Neurospora crassa OR74A: one gene and its partner. The protein of the gene in region 1 interacts with the protein of each later gene in a pairwise test. Links are inferred from orthologs where the notes say so. Each region holds a gene or a part of one and is shown on either strand. Other genes may lie near its edges. The genes, in order: NCU04319 and NCU05296.

Region 1 (6,777 bases):
AAACCCCCATGTTGAAAATGTTCCACCGTGCCCCAACCAAGTATTAGCCCACGGTAAGGCATGTATCCAAAACGCTGTTGAGAAAGTCCCCATCCTCCGAGCTTGCGCCTTCCCAAGGCATATCATCATCATCGTTGTCAACTTCCATAGCGTCCTCGTGATTGACGCCATTGGGTAATGGCCCATCTGCTTTGCCGTTGGCCGCCATTCCACCCATCTCCACATCTCCGTCGGTAGTCGGTCGTACTTCCCGCCCGTCAATGTACGTGTGATCGTCCCAGTTTTCAAGCTCCCCTTCCCGGTAGTCGTAGATGACCGACTTGGCGACAATGGGAAAGTTAGCTAGTCCGCAGTCACCCATCTCCAGCGCTATGCGGAAATCCGCCATGCCCAGAGGCCCACGCTCGCTGGCGGCTTTAGCTTCCACGGGCAATAGGCCGCTCTTATCGCGTGTTACCTCGCCCCTCTGAAAGGCCTCTTCTTCCTTCTGCAACTTGCGTCGGTACTTGTGTGTTTGAATCCAAGCGTTACCCGCTCCGAAACCGGCGTTACCAGAGTCTCCGGGGCCGTTACTCCTCGTTCGGCTGAATATGGAGGACATGACCTGCTTGATGAACGTTTCCGTGGCTATCGACATGAACTGGGCGGCTTCTGGCGCGTGTCCGCCCGAGAGGCCAGCCTCGTAGCATATGGGAAGCATTTTGGCCTCGATGTTGCTGACATCGGGGAACTCTCCGGACTCTACTGCGAGCGGCTGTGCATATCGTTTCCTGATTTCCAGATCATAGTCTGTGAAGAGAGAGGCAAGGTTAGTAACAGCTCATGCTGGTGGCTAGTCGAAAACTTACTCATCCGGCTGAGACCTCCTGCGGCACTTGCTGGTACCTCGGCAGTCTTGATGGACTTGTTTCTGGAGTGGTCAACGAACACGCTAGACAGGGACTCGTAGGGGTCGAACTGCATCGAAAGCTGTTAGTGGTCCGGTCGAAACAAGCTGACGTCGTGTTTCACATACGTCGTTGAGGGCGAGATCTTTGATACGTCTTCTGTCCCTGCTGGGAAGTTGCATGACCTCTCCCTTCAACCGTCTTTCGGCGGCATCACCCGACACGGGCTTGTTCGACGTGTTGGTTGAGGGTTTATCGTTTGCGCTGACCCAAGGCGCAAGGCCCTGGTCAGGCATTTCTCGAGTGACATTTCCGTATATAGCAGCGATGAGCTGGTTATGAAGGTGCTCTTTGGTACCATCGGGAGAGGCCAATATTGGGTCGATGCGCGCACTGAGCTCGGCTTGGTTGAGGCGACCTACAAAAGGATGTTTGTTAGTCCCTGGGCGTGTCGAGGGCAGTCGGCCTGAAGGGAGACCAACCAAGCAGAAAGTTGCCAACGGCTTCCTTGTAAACCGTCCATTGTTCTAGACCAATGTTTGCCCTGAGAGCAGTATATATAGGTTCGAGGTCGATGCGGGCCGGGATGAGTTGGCTGGTCTTTGGCTTTTGTAATGGAGGAACGGAAACATTGATGGATTTTGTAGCAAGAATAGGAGTCGAGATGTTGACGGATGGCCGACTGAGGGCCGCGGGATTTATGTCGACCATGTTGGTAGGTGTGGCTCTTCACAGAGCGGTTGTAGATGTGTCGGTCTGGAAATGCCGTCGAGGTCGAAATCCGGGCCGGGACCGGAACCGGAACCGGAAGAGGAGGGCGGACTGTGACCTCGGCGAAGAAGGAGAAGGATGGTGCCTGGCGTCCTCCAGAAAGAACCTCAGGAGGTCGGACCACTCCCCCAAACAGAAGAAAGTTGAAGTTGATAATGGTTTCCCTTCTTCCGAGCAAGAACTCTACTCGTTGGTAATGGGCGCTTCCCTTGGAATATGAAGCCCCTGCCTGCGAATGGCGTCAGTCCCGGACAGTCGCGTGCGAAGCAACAGCACAATTGCGACGCGGGAATATGATCATCTGGGCCTGAAACCGTCGGCCAACGCTATGCAATTGCGAATCTGGGCTCAGACTGATGAATTGAGCATCCTGTCGTCGACAAGTAGATTGGTGTATCAGATCGACAAAGGCTGGTTGTTGGACGGTTGGAAGTCTGAATCGAGACCCACGGGACCTGAGTTGTCGTTCTCCTCCTCCTTTGGTGGTCACTTCGGTTTCCGGGCGGTTGTTGGGTTGTTGGACTTTGCGAGAGAGTTCTGAAAAGAGCGCTGAAAGATGCACGCTAAATCACCTAAGGTACGGGCGCAACATGGAACTACCTCTACCTACCTACCTATTGAGCGCCCGGGTACCTCTACTGCCTGCCGCCTACAACCCGGGCAGTGTACTAGTCTATTTTCCCGTTCAGTGAACTGGGAGCGCTGGAAAGAGCCGCCATGATCACCAAGTGCAACTTAGGTAGGTTCAGTACCAAGCTTCCAGGAACAAACAACAAGATCAACACCATCACCGTCTGTCGCGTCTTGTGGCGCGTCCCGTCCCCTCTCCGGCCGGCAACACCCCCCAAACCAAACCAAACCAAACCAAACCAAACCCACCTGCGCTACCACTTGGCATCATTAGGTTTGAGAAATTCGAGCAAGCAAAGGAAAGCTGAAGAACCAAGGGACGGAGACAAGGAAGATGTGATGGGCATACAACTGGACGCCGCCAATTCCACCCACCCCCAGACAATGCAACAATGGCTAGCCGACAGCAGGAACACCGAGCCCAGAAGATCTCCAGCGCCATCGACAGCCTCATAGCCCACCTGATCCCCGAAAACCCCTACGAAGACGACCAGACCGCCGAGCTTCGACACGACGACTATGCCTCGGCCGTCAAGGCCCTTCTCGAACAGTAAGGAGGCTTGCTCCAGCAACGGCGCCGGCCTGAGATAACAAAACAAACATTGCTAACTCTCTCTGCCTTTCTCCCCAAACCAGACCCTCCTCGCCAAGCTATGATGCCGACGTCAACAATGCCTCCGACTTGATCAAGAGGAAGCTGATCCAGGGAAACCCAACCCAGGCACTGCGCTTTTCCCACCTCTACACCCGACTACTCTCCCTCCCGGTGCTCAACCAAAAGTGGGCCATCCTCTACTTTCTATACCAGCTCTCGGACTCGCCAGACCCCAATGAGCCCCTCCCTTTAAGCCCGCTTGCCCGACAGCAACCTCATTTCGACCCTCAGTTCCACCCCCAGATCCAGGCGCAAACACCTCCTCAACCGTCAGCATGGCCTGCCGAACCCAGGATCCCGGCATATGACGAGGTTCAGGATGAGGAGGTCATGGAGGATGCCCCTTCTCCCGAAGGCTCTCACAATCTCCCCCCAGAAAGGCCAAGACATGGTCGAGACCAAGGTCATACGCCTGTCCAGAGTCACCAGGCTGGCCCTGCTTCAAGAGACGAAAGGGATGTGGCGCATGACCCTTCGGAGCCGGCCTTGTTGAGGGACCTGCCCTTCACCCTGCAGGGCCTTTCATCGGCAACTCTCCCCTTTCTCAACGACACAACGTTGAAGCTACCACCAACGCTTCCTATCCCCATCATCTCTCTTCTCAACACGCTGGCCGAGCCTTCGCTTCTCTACAGAGGACTAAACGAGTTTACCAAAACGCCGGCAAACGGACTACTGGGCCAGAGTCTACGGGCTGCCATCAGCAAGGAGCTTCGGTCATATTTGACTCTGGTGGCTACCCTGGAGACTCAAATTCGCCGCGCTCTCTCTGAGCTTGACGAGTCTGCTCCCCGTGGTGGCATTGGAAAAACGGGCGTTACGCTCAAGCGATGCGTGGTATGGACCCGTGAGGCTACTATGGGCTTGCGCCTCATGTCTCTGATTGCCGAGGAGAGCAAGAATAAGCATGGTGGGCAGTTGGTCACCCTGATCCACAACTTTTCGTCTTCACACGGCGATCCTGTCGTAGCTGCATTCGCTGAGCGCTTGCTTGTTGACGTGACTCGGCCATTCTACGATATCCTACGCCGCTGGATCTATGACGGAGAGCTCCTCGATCCCCATATGGAGTTTTTTGTTCGGGAACAGAACCCCCTCGATGAGGAGAGGAAAGACGCCAAAGCTAAGGGCCAAATGAGTGTCTGGAACTCCAAGTATGAGCTTGTTGAGGACATGGTCCCGAGTATTATCACACGCAACTTTGCTGACAAGGTTTTCCTCATCGGAAAGTCCCTTAACTTCATCCGCCACAGCTGCGGTGATCACAAATGGGTCGAGGACTACAGTAAAAATGCGTCCAGGGAGCTCAAATATGGTGACACAGCTACCCTGGAAGCCTGGATTGACGAGGCACACAGGGAGACAATGAGCCATCTTATGCGCCTCCTAAATGACCAATTCCGTGTCTTTGATCATCTAGAGGCGCTGAAGCGGTACATTCTGCTGGGGCAGGGTGATTTCATTGCTCTGCTGATGGAGTCGCTGGCTCCTAACCTAGATCGGCCAGCGGGCGCCCAGTATCGACATACACTCACTGCGCAGCTTGAGCATGCCATCCGAGGCTCAAACGCTCAATATGATGATCCAGAAATCACCAATCGCTTGGATGCTCGCATGCTTCAGCTTAGCCATGGTGATATCGGCTGGGACTGCTTTACGCTCGAGTACAAGATTGACGCGCCCGTGGACGTCGTTGTCACCGAGTGGGGCAATCGACAGTACCTCAAAGTCTTCAACTTCCTTTGGCGTATCAAGCGTGTCGAGTTTGCCCTGGCCTCGACCTGGCGCAAGTGCATGACTGGCGCCCGCGGCGTTCTCCAGACGTCGGACGAGACGGTGCTTCAAACATGGAAGAGCACACGGGGTGTCCTCGCCGAGATGGTCCATTTTGTCGGCCAATTACAGTACTACATCCTCTTTGAGGTTATCGAAAGCAGTTGGACCGAACTGCAAAAGAACATTCACAAGGAGAACTGCACGCTCGACGACCTAATAACTGCCCATACCAAATACCTCACATCTATCACACACAAGGGTCTCCTCGGTGCCAAACGACGACCGTACCCGCAGACAGGCGACCCTGTCTCAGCATCTTCCACGACCGACGAAGATCGCAACTCCTACATGGTCCAGCTAAGCGAGCTGCTCCGGATAATGCTCGCCTACAGAGACAGCGTAGACGGTCTCTACAGCTGGTCCGTCTCCGACTTTACGAGACGTCAGGAGAAGGAGACAGCCGGGCTGATCTACTCACACCGCGGCGGGAGCACCCGAACCACGACGCGAGACCGAGCAGATTCCCAAGCTGCGTCGTCCATGGCTGACTCGATGGATCTCGATCCGCCATACGAGTACTTCGACGCCGCGGCCACCAGTGACGCGGGATCAGTTAAGAGCGAGTTCCCAGCGTTGCAGGACCGGTTGAAGCAATTGGGCGCCAATTTTAAGACCAGGTTGCAGATTCTCTTGGGAGATTTGGCGTACCAGCCGGATGTGGATATGCGGTTCTTGGGAGTGTCGATGAATTTCAATGATGTGTATCAACCTGTGAGGAGGAAGACGAAGACCTCGTCGAGTGCCGTCCCCACTGGTGGAGCTGCCTCTGTCGCTTCGGCGGCATCGTCGATAGCGGGCGCTCAGGGACAGTCTCAGGCTGGGGGGAGTGGTGGGCAAGGTGTTGCGGGAGGAGGGACGACTTTTCGTGGGACAGATACCTCGAAGGCCTAGGCAGCATGTGGGTCTGACACGAGCGAGTCGAGTAGTGGACCAAGGTATTTGTACCGGAGCCGGTGACGACAGATGATAGGTATACCACTAGATGTAGGATGGGAAGTAGCGGGGGGAATGAAACCGGACATAATAGCGAACATTGGCAGAATGGATGATTGGATCGGTCGTGACCGAGCATTGACCTACTGACATTAAATCATATCCAACCAAAACCTAAAGCGTATTTGACGGCAAAGACATCGGTAATGGCCTCGACATCGAGGAGACAGAAATCTGGATGCTGGGTGGCTACTTAAGTTGAACCAAAAGTATACTCATCCATCAAAGCGGGTTTAGCTCAGTTGGGAGAGCGTCAGACTGAAGTCCACTTCACTCATAAATCTGAAGGTCGTGTGTTCGATCCACACAAACCGCAACCCATTCTTTTTTTTGCATTTTGCCCATCCTATCTCTTTTTTTTTCGTTGGTTTAATATAGAAACGAAACGTCTGGTTTTCGGACTGCATTTCGTTCTTGCTATATGGCTGACTGGGGGAGATCTTGAAGGAATGCTTTCAACCACCGAAAAACTTGATTTGCAAACGAAAGTCAGAGAAAGACAAAGACGGAAACTTGTTGTATACCAACCAACCCAACCCTCTTATATCATCCCCCCTCTTGAGCCCTCTTCTCTAGATACGCTTGCTACTATCACACAAGAAATCATGCTTACCCTGACTCTGTCCCCTCAGCTCTCATCTTCAATTCCTCACTCCTTCCTTAGCTCTTATCTATCCCATTATCTCTCCCTCTCTCCCTCTCTTCTATACCGCACAAAGGACCTACCATACCACACTGTCACCAATCCCCTCCCACCCCCTTCTCAATCTCCTCAAAAACTTTTACCCCCCTCAATAACAACCCACTCGCCAACCCAACCACATCCGCGCCCGCCATCCTCATCCTCTTATACCCCTGTGCATCTAGCACCCCTCCCACTCCAATTATCTGTATCCGATGTCCCAGCGTTTTTTCTCTTTCATCCAACATTTTCCTAAGCGTTTTGACATTCCCCAGCGCTAATGGATGTAAGGGGGCACCAGCTAGTCCGCCTGTGCCTAAGTC
Region 2 (6,590 bases), on another chromosome or scaffold:
CAACGCCACTGGCTCATCTCCCGTCTGCACGACATGGCCCGTCTAACGGGCTGGCAATCCGCCCGCCAGATCGCCGACGGGTGCGAATCCGGGTGGATGAAAGCTGCGGAAATGGGCCGTGGTCCACCGTATCGACGGCTTTCTTCTTCTTCTTCTTCTTCTTTTTCGGGTAGTAGTAGTAGTAATAGTAGTGGTTTTCTACCGATTTGGATGCGACCGCGAAGAATCGACAAGAAGATCCGGGAGGAGCAGGCGGGGGAGAACCGGTTGGTGCTGGCGAGGACGGAGCATGCGCATTTTGCGCTGGGGTTGTTGACGGTCGAACAGGATTTGGATCGGTTGGAGTTGAGTGAGGGGGAGTAGAGGTGATTGATTACATGTAGAGAATCTTGGGGTGTAATACCATATGGGACTATATATATATATGCATATATATAATTCGGGCGTTGAGGGTGGGTTGGGAAACATGAGATGAGCGGGCTTTAACGAGCGAGTGAGCTTATAGCGGACGACGACCTGGGCATTATGGAATACCTTGATGTACTGTTTAGAAGGCTGGAACGGAATCCAAGTCCGAGACGAGAGATGGTGTCAAGTAAACGGTGTGTTGCCTGCTGACCGGCTTTCAGGTCGGTTACTTTCATACGCCTTTATCTATTGCGAATCCGTTGCCACACGTGCTTGAAACGCTGGACATATGCCGTGGAATGGGGTGAGTAGAGGGCCACCAACCAACCAAGAGTGCTTGAGTTGGATTCGATTCATTAAACAGTTTCTCCCATCAAAAAACCGGGAGATGCCGCTTTCCATCCCGTTCGCCTGCTATCTCCAGCTATGCTTTAGTTTCCCATTCCCCTTCATCAACATTACATGACACATGCTTCTTTAGTTGGCGGGCAACCGCGCAACAACAGCGGCCATTTCCTCGTCTGTGTATATCCTGAAGCCCTTGTCCTTGGTGACGCTCGCCAGCTGCACGTTCTTGGCATCGAGCTTCTCCTCCATGACCTGCTTGAGCGTCTTGAGGACGAGCGTCTCGGCGTCTTCGAGGGTGAGGGACTATATAACAAGATGAAAATTAGCAATAAGGCCCTAATACAGTCCCGGGCACCCTAGATAACCCACCTTGTGGTACTCATTCTGCAACTCGGCCTGCGCGCCCTCGCTACCGCTTCCAATTGCCTTTGCATCATAGCGATAAAACGTTCCCGACGGCTCGGCATGGTACAGACTCGGGCCGTCCTCATCGTAGCCGGCAATCAGCAGCGCCACGCCAAAGGGGCGGGACATGATGCTCTCCTCGCCGTCGGCGCTCTCGCCGAAGCGCAGGGCCAGGTCGCAGATGGCCTGCGTGCAGCTCTCGACGCGCAGCTTCTCGTTGTAGTTGAAGGCGTGGCTCTGGCACTCGACGCGGGCGTGCTCGATCATGGAGCGCGCATCGGCCTGCAGCCCGGACATGGCGGTCCCGATGTGGCGGTCGATCTCGACAATCTTCTCGACCGACGAGGTCTCGAGCAGGGTCGAGGTCACGCGCTTCTCGACGCCGAGAATGACGCCCTCCGAGGTGGCGACGCCGATGGCGGTGGAGCCGAGCTTGATGGCCTCGAGGGAGTACTCGACTTGGAAGAGGCGGCCTTCGGGGGAGAAGGTGCTGTAGGCATGATTATTAGTCTTCCTTGTTGGACTGGGTAGATAGGTGGGTGACTTGGATGTAGGTATTGTGGCAGGTTGTGTGGTGTTTTATCGGTATTCGTTAGAGGGTGTTATCGAGGGATATGCGATCGAGTAGTGGCTGGAGGAGTATGGGAGAGAGAGAGAGAGAGGGTGGTGTGGCCAAGCGTAAAAGTCGTTCGTTCGTATGTTCACTTACTTGATGCCCCGATCTAGATGATGCGCCCAAGTATGTTAGCCGTCCGTCAGTCCATGATGTCTGGTGTAGCTGTCTGGTGTAGCTTGTCCCCTCCGGTGGCATCACTTGAAGCTTGACATGGGCAAAGCAAGTGAGGGGGGTGGTAGTGACATACCGTATTCAGATCTTGCCATAAACATTTTGACGGTGTTGAGGGGAGCTCGAGTGGGGAGAAGGGTCCGGGATGTAGTATTGCTGTCGGGAGGTAAGCCTGGCTTTGCTGGTTATATGCGCCGGGCGTTGGTTGGTGATAGCCGAAGAGATAGATGGTGTTAGCGTCGAGGGTCGGTGTCTCTTAGTCGAGGACTGGTGAGTGATGTTGTTTGTTTTGGGAGAGATTGGATGATGCTGTGCCGTGGTGGTTTGGATGGGAACAAGCTGCCGTAAGGCCTGAACTGAGGTGCCTGGGACCGACCGACGTCAAGCACCTCAGTGGAATGGAAGAGCTCCAGGCACGACAGGCCGACGAAGCTCCTCTGCCAGGCGGGCCGGCCAATCCCCTGTACCCTAGGTACCTAGGTAGGTGTCCCAAAAGGTACTTGCAGGTACGTACCTCCCGTCTACCTTCAGTTCCCACCTAGCAACCCGACTGTCAGCGCCTGGCCAGGGGAACCCCTCAGACCTAGCGGCCCGGGTGCCCCTCCCTGCCCGTAGAAGCCGCCCGCTGGGGCATCACCTATCCACTGAGACGGCTTGCTTGGCGGGTCCTCCTCCCTCTGATAACGCGTCCAATTAATTGTTGGTGGTCGCGTCACTTCCATCCAGCGGGCATCGGGTCTCCATTCCGCCGACACACTCCAACATCCAACGGGACGGCATCCTCTCACACTCACTCACTCACTCACTCACTCATCACTTTTGGACTGCGATTGCTACCTTCTTGGCTTCGCAATTCCTCCTCCATTTCCATATCCAACAACGTCTCCTCACAGGACAACCCTGTTGTTGTTACCCGGCAGATTTCCCGACCGCTGCTCGACCGTCACAATACATACGTTAGGCTGACAAGCTACAAGTCCAAAGATAATGTACCCTTAGAAGGGGGCAACATCACCGGGTCTCCGACCGTCAACCTTCACCAAACCCAGGCCCGACACGCCCGACCCCAGATCCAGTCCAGCGGCCCACGGCATTGTACATGGCCACGAGCCGCCAAACATATCCATAACCTTCTCCCACTTCCCCGACCGCCGCGCCGCCAGAGTCACCTCCGCAATGGGATCATCGGCCACCCTAGCCCCGACCCAATCCACCTCACAGACACGTCCCACCAGCAGAACCCTCGTCAATGACCGCCGCCCAGCCAAAGTCCAGGTGACCACACGCGATCCTGCCATGGCTCGATCCGGCCGGAACGCCGACCCCCTCAGCGCTGGTAGCGACACCCTCAAGTCCAGATCACGGAATGTCGAGTCAAGGCGGCCAAGAGGAGACAGCCGCGCTGCTGAACAACAACCACAACCACCACCGCCAGCCCCTTGGGAACCCGCCGCTACCCTACTCCCTCACACGTCAGCCCCTTTAGCTTCGCGAGTCTCGATACCGCCCGTTGCTTCGTCCGCGCCTCAGACACTACAGCCGCGACCGCTTGCCGAGCTGTCCCTCAATGCGCAAGAGGCTGCCATGATCGAGGACCTGCTCTTCGTGTTTATGGGCTTCGAGGGACAGTACATCCGATTCGCAAAAGGCTACAATCCCTACGAGGAACGAGACCGCTTGTCTGGGCCACAATGGCGCATCCTATCTGGGCTGGATCCCAGCTTGCTGGACCTTACACAATCCATGCTGCGCATGGCTTCTCACTACACGGCGCTGGAGACGTTTGTTGATGTTCAGAGTCGCGAAGAATTCGGTGCCGTCAACCACGCCTTGTGCGCCTCGATCCGGAGGTATTTGCACGAGTATCTGGTCATGGTTGTCCAGCTGGAGACACAGTTTCTCAACGACGAGAACTTTACATTACAGCAACTCAACGTGCATATCCTTCCCAGCAGCCATCTGATGGCTCACATGTATGGCTTGGCGCTGGAGCTGCTAAAGCGCAATGCGCTTCTGGATGACGACTCGGACGAATCGAGCGATAGTTCCGACGACGACTTCGATCACATCATCGAGCAGCTCAGAGACGGCGGTGATCTTGTGCCGGGGAATATGACGGGCAAAAAGATATGCAAGGGAGGCGTGGTATTGGGGCTGATCACCAAGAGACTGGAGTCGCTATCGGGAGACCCGTCCGCCAGAGTACTCCTCACAACTCTGCTACGGGACGCAAGCCGACCATACATGGCCATGTTGAACGAGTGGTTGCACCATGGAAGCATCAACGACCCACATTCCGAGTTTCTGATCAAAGAACAAAAGAGTATTCGCAGGGAACGATTAGAGCAGGATTATACCGACGAATACTGGGAGAGGCGATACACGATACGAGATCACGACGTGCCACCTCAACTGGAGGCCGTCAAAGACAAGGTCTTGCTGGCTGGCAAATACCTGAATGTTGTCCGAGAGTGCGGAGGCGTCGATGTTAGTCGCAAGATGCAGGACGTACCAAACTCGTTCGACGACAATAGGTTTCTGGAGAACATCAGCAGCGCCTACGCTCATGCCAACGGATCGCTAATGCAATTGCTTCTTACCACACACGAGTTGCCGGCGAGACTACGATCGTTAAAACACTACTTTTTCCTGGACCCTTCGGATTACTTCAACTACTTTTTGGAACTAGGAACGTCCGAATTACGAAAGCCCGTCAAGGTGGTGAACACTGGCAAGCTCCAGTCTTTGCTCGATTTAGTCCTACGACAACCGGGAAGCATAGTCTGTCTGGACAAGTTCAAGGAGGATGTCAAGGTGGAGATGAACGAGGTTACGCTACTCAAATCGCTTCAGCGGGTCGTTAACATTACCGGTATTGAGCAAGGCGAGGCGCTTCAGCTTACATCAAACCAACCGTTGGAAGGCGACAAAAACGCCACTGGATTTACCTCGCTCCAGCTCGACTATACTGTTCCCTTCCCGGTGTCTCTTGTTATTAGCAGGAAGACCATTTGGCGTTATCAGGCCTTGTTCCGCTACCTTTTGTCACTGCGTTACCTCGAGACCCAACTATCGGTCACATGGTATACTCACGCAAGCGGCACGGCCTGGACACACCGTTCATCCAACCGCATGCTGGAGATCTGGAAGCGAAGGGTATGGACACTCCGAGCTCGTATGCTTGTATTCGTTCAGCAGCTGCTTTATTTTTGCACTGCCGAGGTAATCGAGCCGAACTGGCAGAAGCTCATGAACACGCTCCGGGAGATTGAGAACAACTGCGCGGGTGTGACTACACAAGACGGTACCTCTACGCCAAGGGCATCATCTGCCAAGAAGCCTCATACCGTCGATGGGCTTATGCAGGAACACGTGGATTTCCTCGACACTTGCTTGAAGGAATGCATGTTGACCAACAGCAAGTTGTTACGAGTATGTCTTGTCCCCCCCCCTTACCTCCTACCCTAGGTATTCCGAATAATACAAACTAACTAACAAACCCCCCCAGATCCACTCCAAACTAATGCAAACCTGCTCCGTCTTCGCCACCTACACCAACTGGCTCTCCCGGGAGCTCGAAAAGTCAGATCCAGACCTGACAGGCAACACCAAGCCGCCCAACATGACGGACGATCAATGGCGACAGTTTCTGGTTATTCGGGGCCAACGACAGCAACAGCAGTCAAAAGACGGAGACACGAACATGGAAAACGACAAGAACCCCGAGACGAGAATGAACGAGCTCTTTGACGTGATACGCAAGTGGGAAAGCAACTTTAGTCGACACCTGCAGATCCTGCTGGACGCACTGAATCACTATGCGGCAACGGAGACGGTGGTGCTGTTGAGTCTGTGTGCGCGCTTGAGTACGGCTAATCAGGGGACCGAGTATGCTGGGTTGAGGAGTGAGGAGGACGGGGGGCATGGTGGGGGGTCATGATGATGCTTCACTGGGGGTGTAGTGTAGGGGTGTGGAGTGTGGATATGTGATGAGAGAGGGCAGAGTAAAGCAGAAAGGGCATTATTATTACCATGATACCACCCATAACTGAATCAAGAAAGATGAATAATTCAGAAGAAGAACGAAGAATAAGAATAAGAAGAAGCATTATATGAAACGTTCGGTAACTCGAGTCGTGATTACGTTCAAGCTCATGTTTGGTTTCGTCCCAACTGAGCCTTGGTGTATCTCATCCGGAGATGCTTTCTTCGCCACCGCCGCCTCCTCCTCCTCCTCCAGATACCGAACTGCAGACGTCTAGACGGGCTTGGGCATGTTATCCGGATATCGGAATGGGTGCCATCTCTTTGGCACCTGCGCGGTTTCCGTTACCGACGCGGGGGTTCAGGGGACCCAAAAGGGGCGGTTTTGGTCTCTACTTTTTTTTCTTTCTTTCTAGGTAGTTACCGTGTCGTTGGCTTGTGAGCTGTTGTTGTTGAATGGCTTGATTCATGGATCTCCGGGCGCCGGCCTATCTACACTACACTACAATACATATGTACAATGCACTATCAAACCTTATCAATCATGCCCCATCCCATCATCTGATTCGTCAAAGACACCCCATGACATTTTAATGCAGTAACCCCGAAAGCCGGGAGCCGGGACTACACTACACTACTCTACACTACTATGGTACGT

The links.
Region 2: the proteins of NCU04319 (region 1) and NCU05296 interact in a two-hybrid assay, tested with the Schizosaccharomyces pombe proteins (3 studies listed by BioGRID). The link is inferred for Neurospora crassa OR74A from reciprocal best matches to the Schizosaccharomyces pombe genes alp6 and alp4.

The regions. Positions count from the first base shown.
Region 1 is NC_026505.1:5,598,595-5,605,371, reverse strand, and holds NCU04319 (spindle pole body component), read left to right. Parts: upstream 1-2,402; 5' UTR 2,403-2,680; coding exon 2,681-2,838; intron 2,839-2,924; coding exon 2,925-5,670; 3' UTR 5,671-5,905; downstream 5,906-6,777. Other genes in the region: NCU04320 (transcriptional co-activator), read right to left, coding at 44-789, 849-957, 1,016-1,305, 1,370-1,598; NCU04318 (dihydroorotate dehydrogenase), read right to left, coding at 6,511-6,777.
Region 2 is NC_026504.1:5,424,421-5,431,010, reverse strand, and holds NCU05296 (spindle pole body component 97), read left to right. Parts: upstream 1-2,681; 5' UTR 2,682-3,124; coding exon 3,125-5,380; intron 5,381-5,456; coding exon 5,457-5,888; 3' UTR 5,889-6,060; downstream 6,061-6,590. Other genes in the region: NCU05294 (C6 finger domain-containing protein), read left to right, coding at 1-363; pca-5 (proteasome component PUP2), read right to left, coding at 886-1,059, 1,126-1,651, 1,871-1,883, 2,025-2,049. UniProt on the Schizosaccharomyces pombe protein: Component of the gamma tubule complex that is required for the regulation of both interphase microtubules and mitotic bipolar spindles.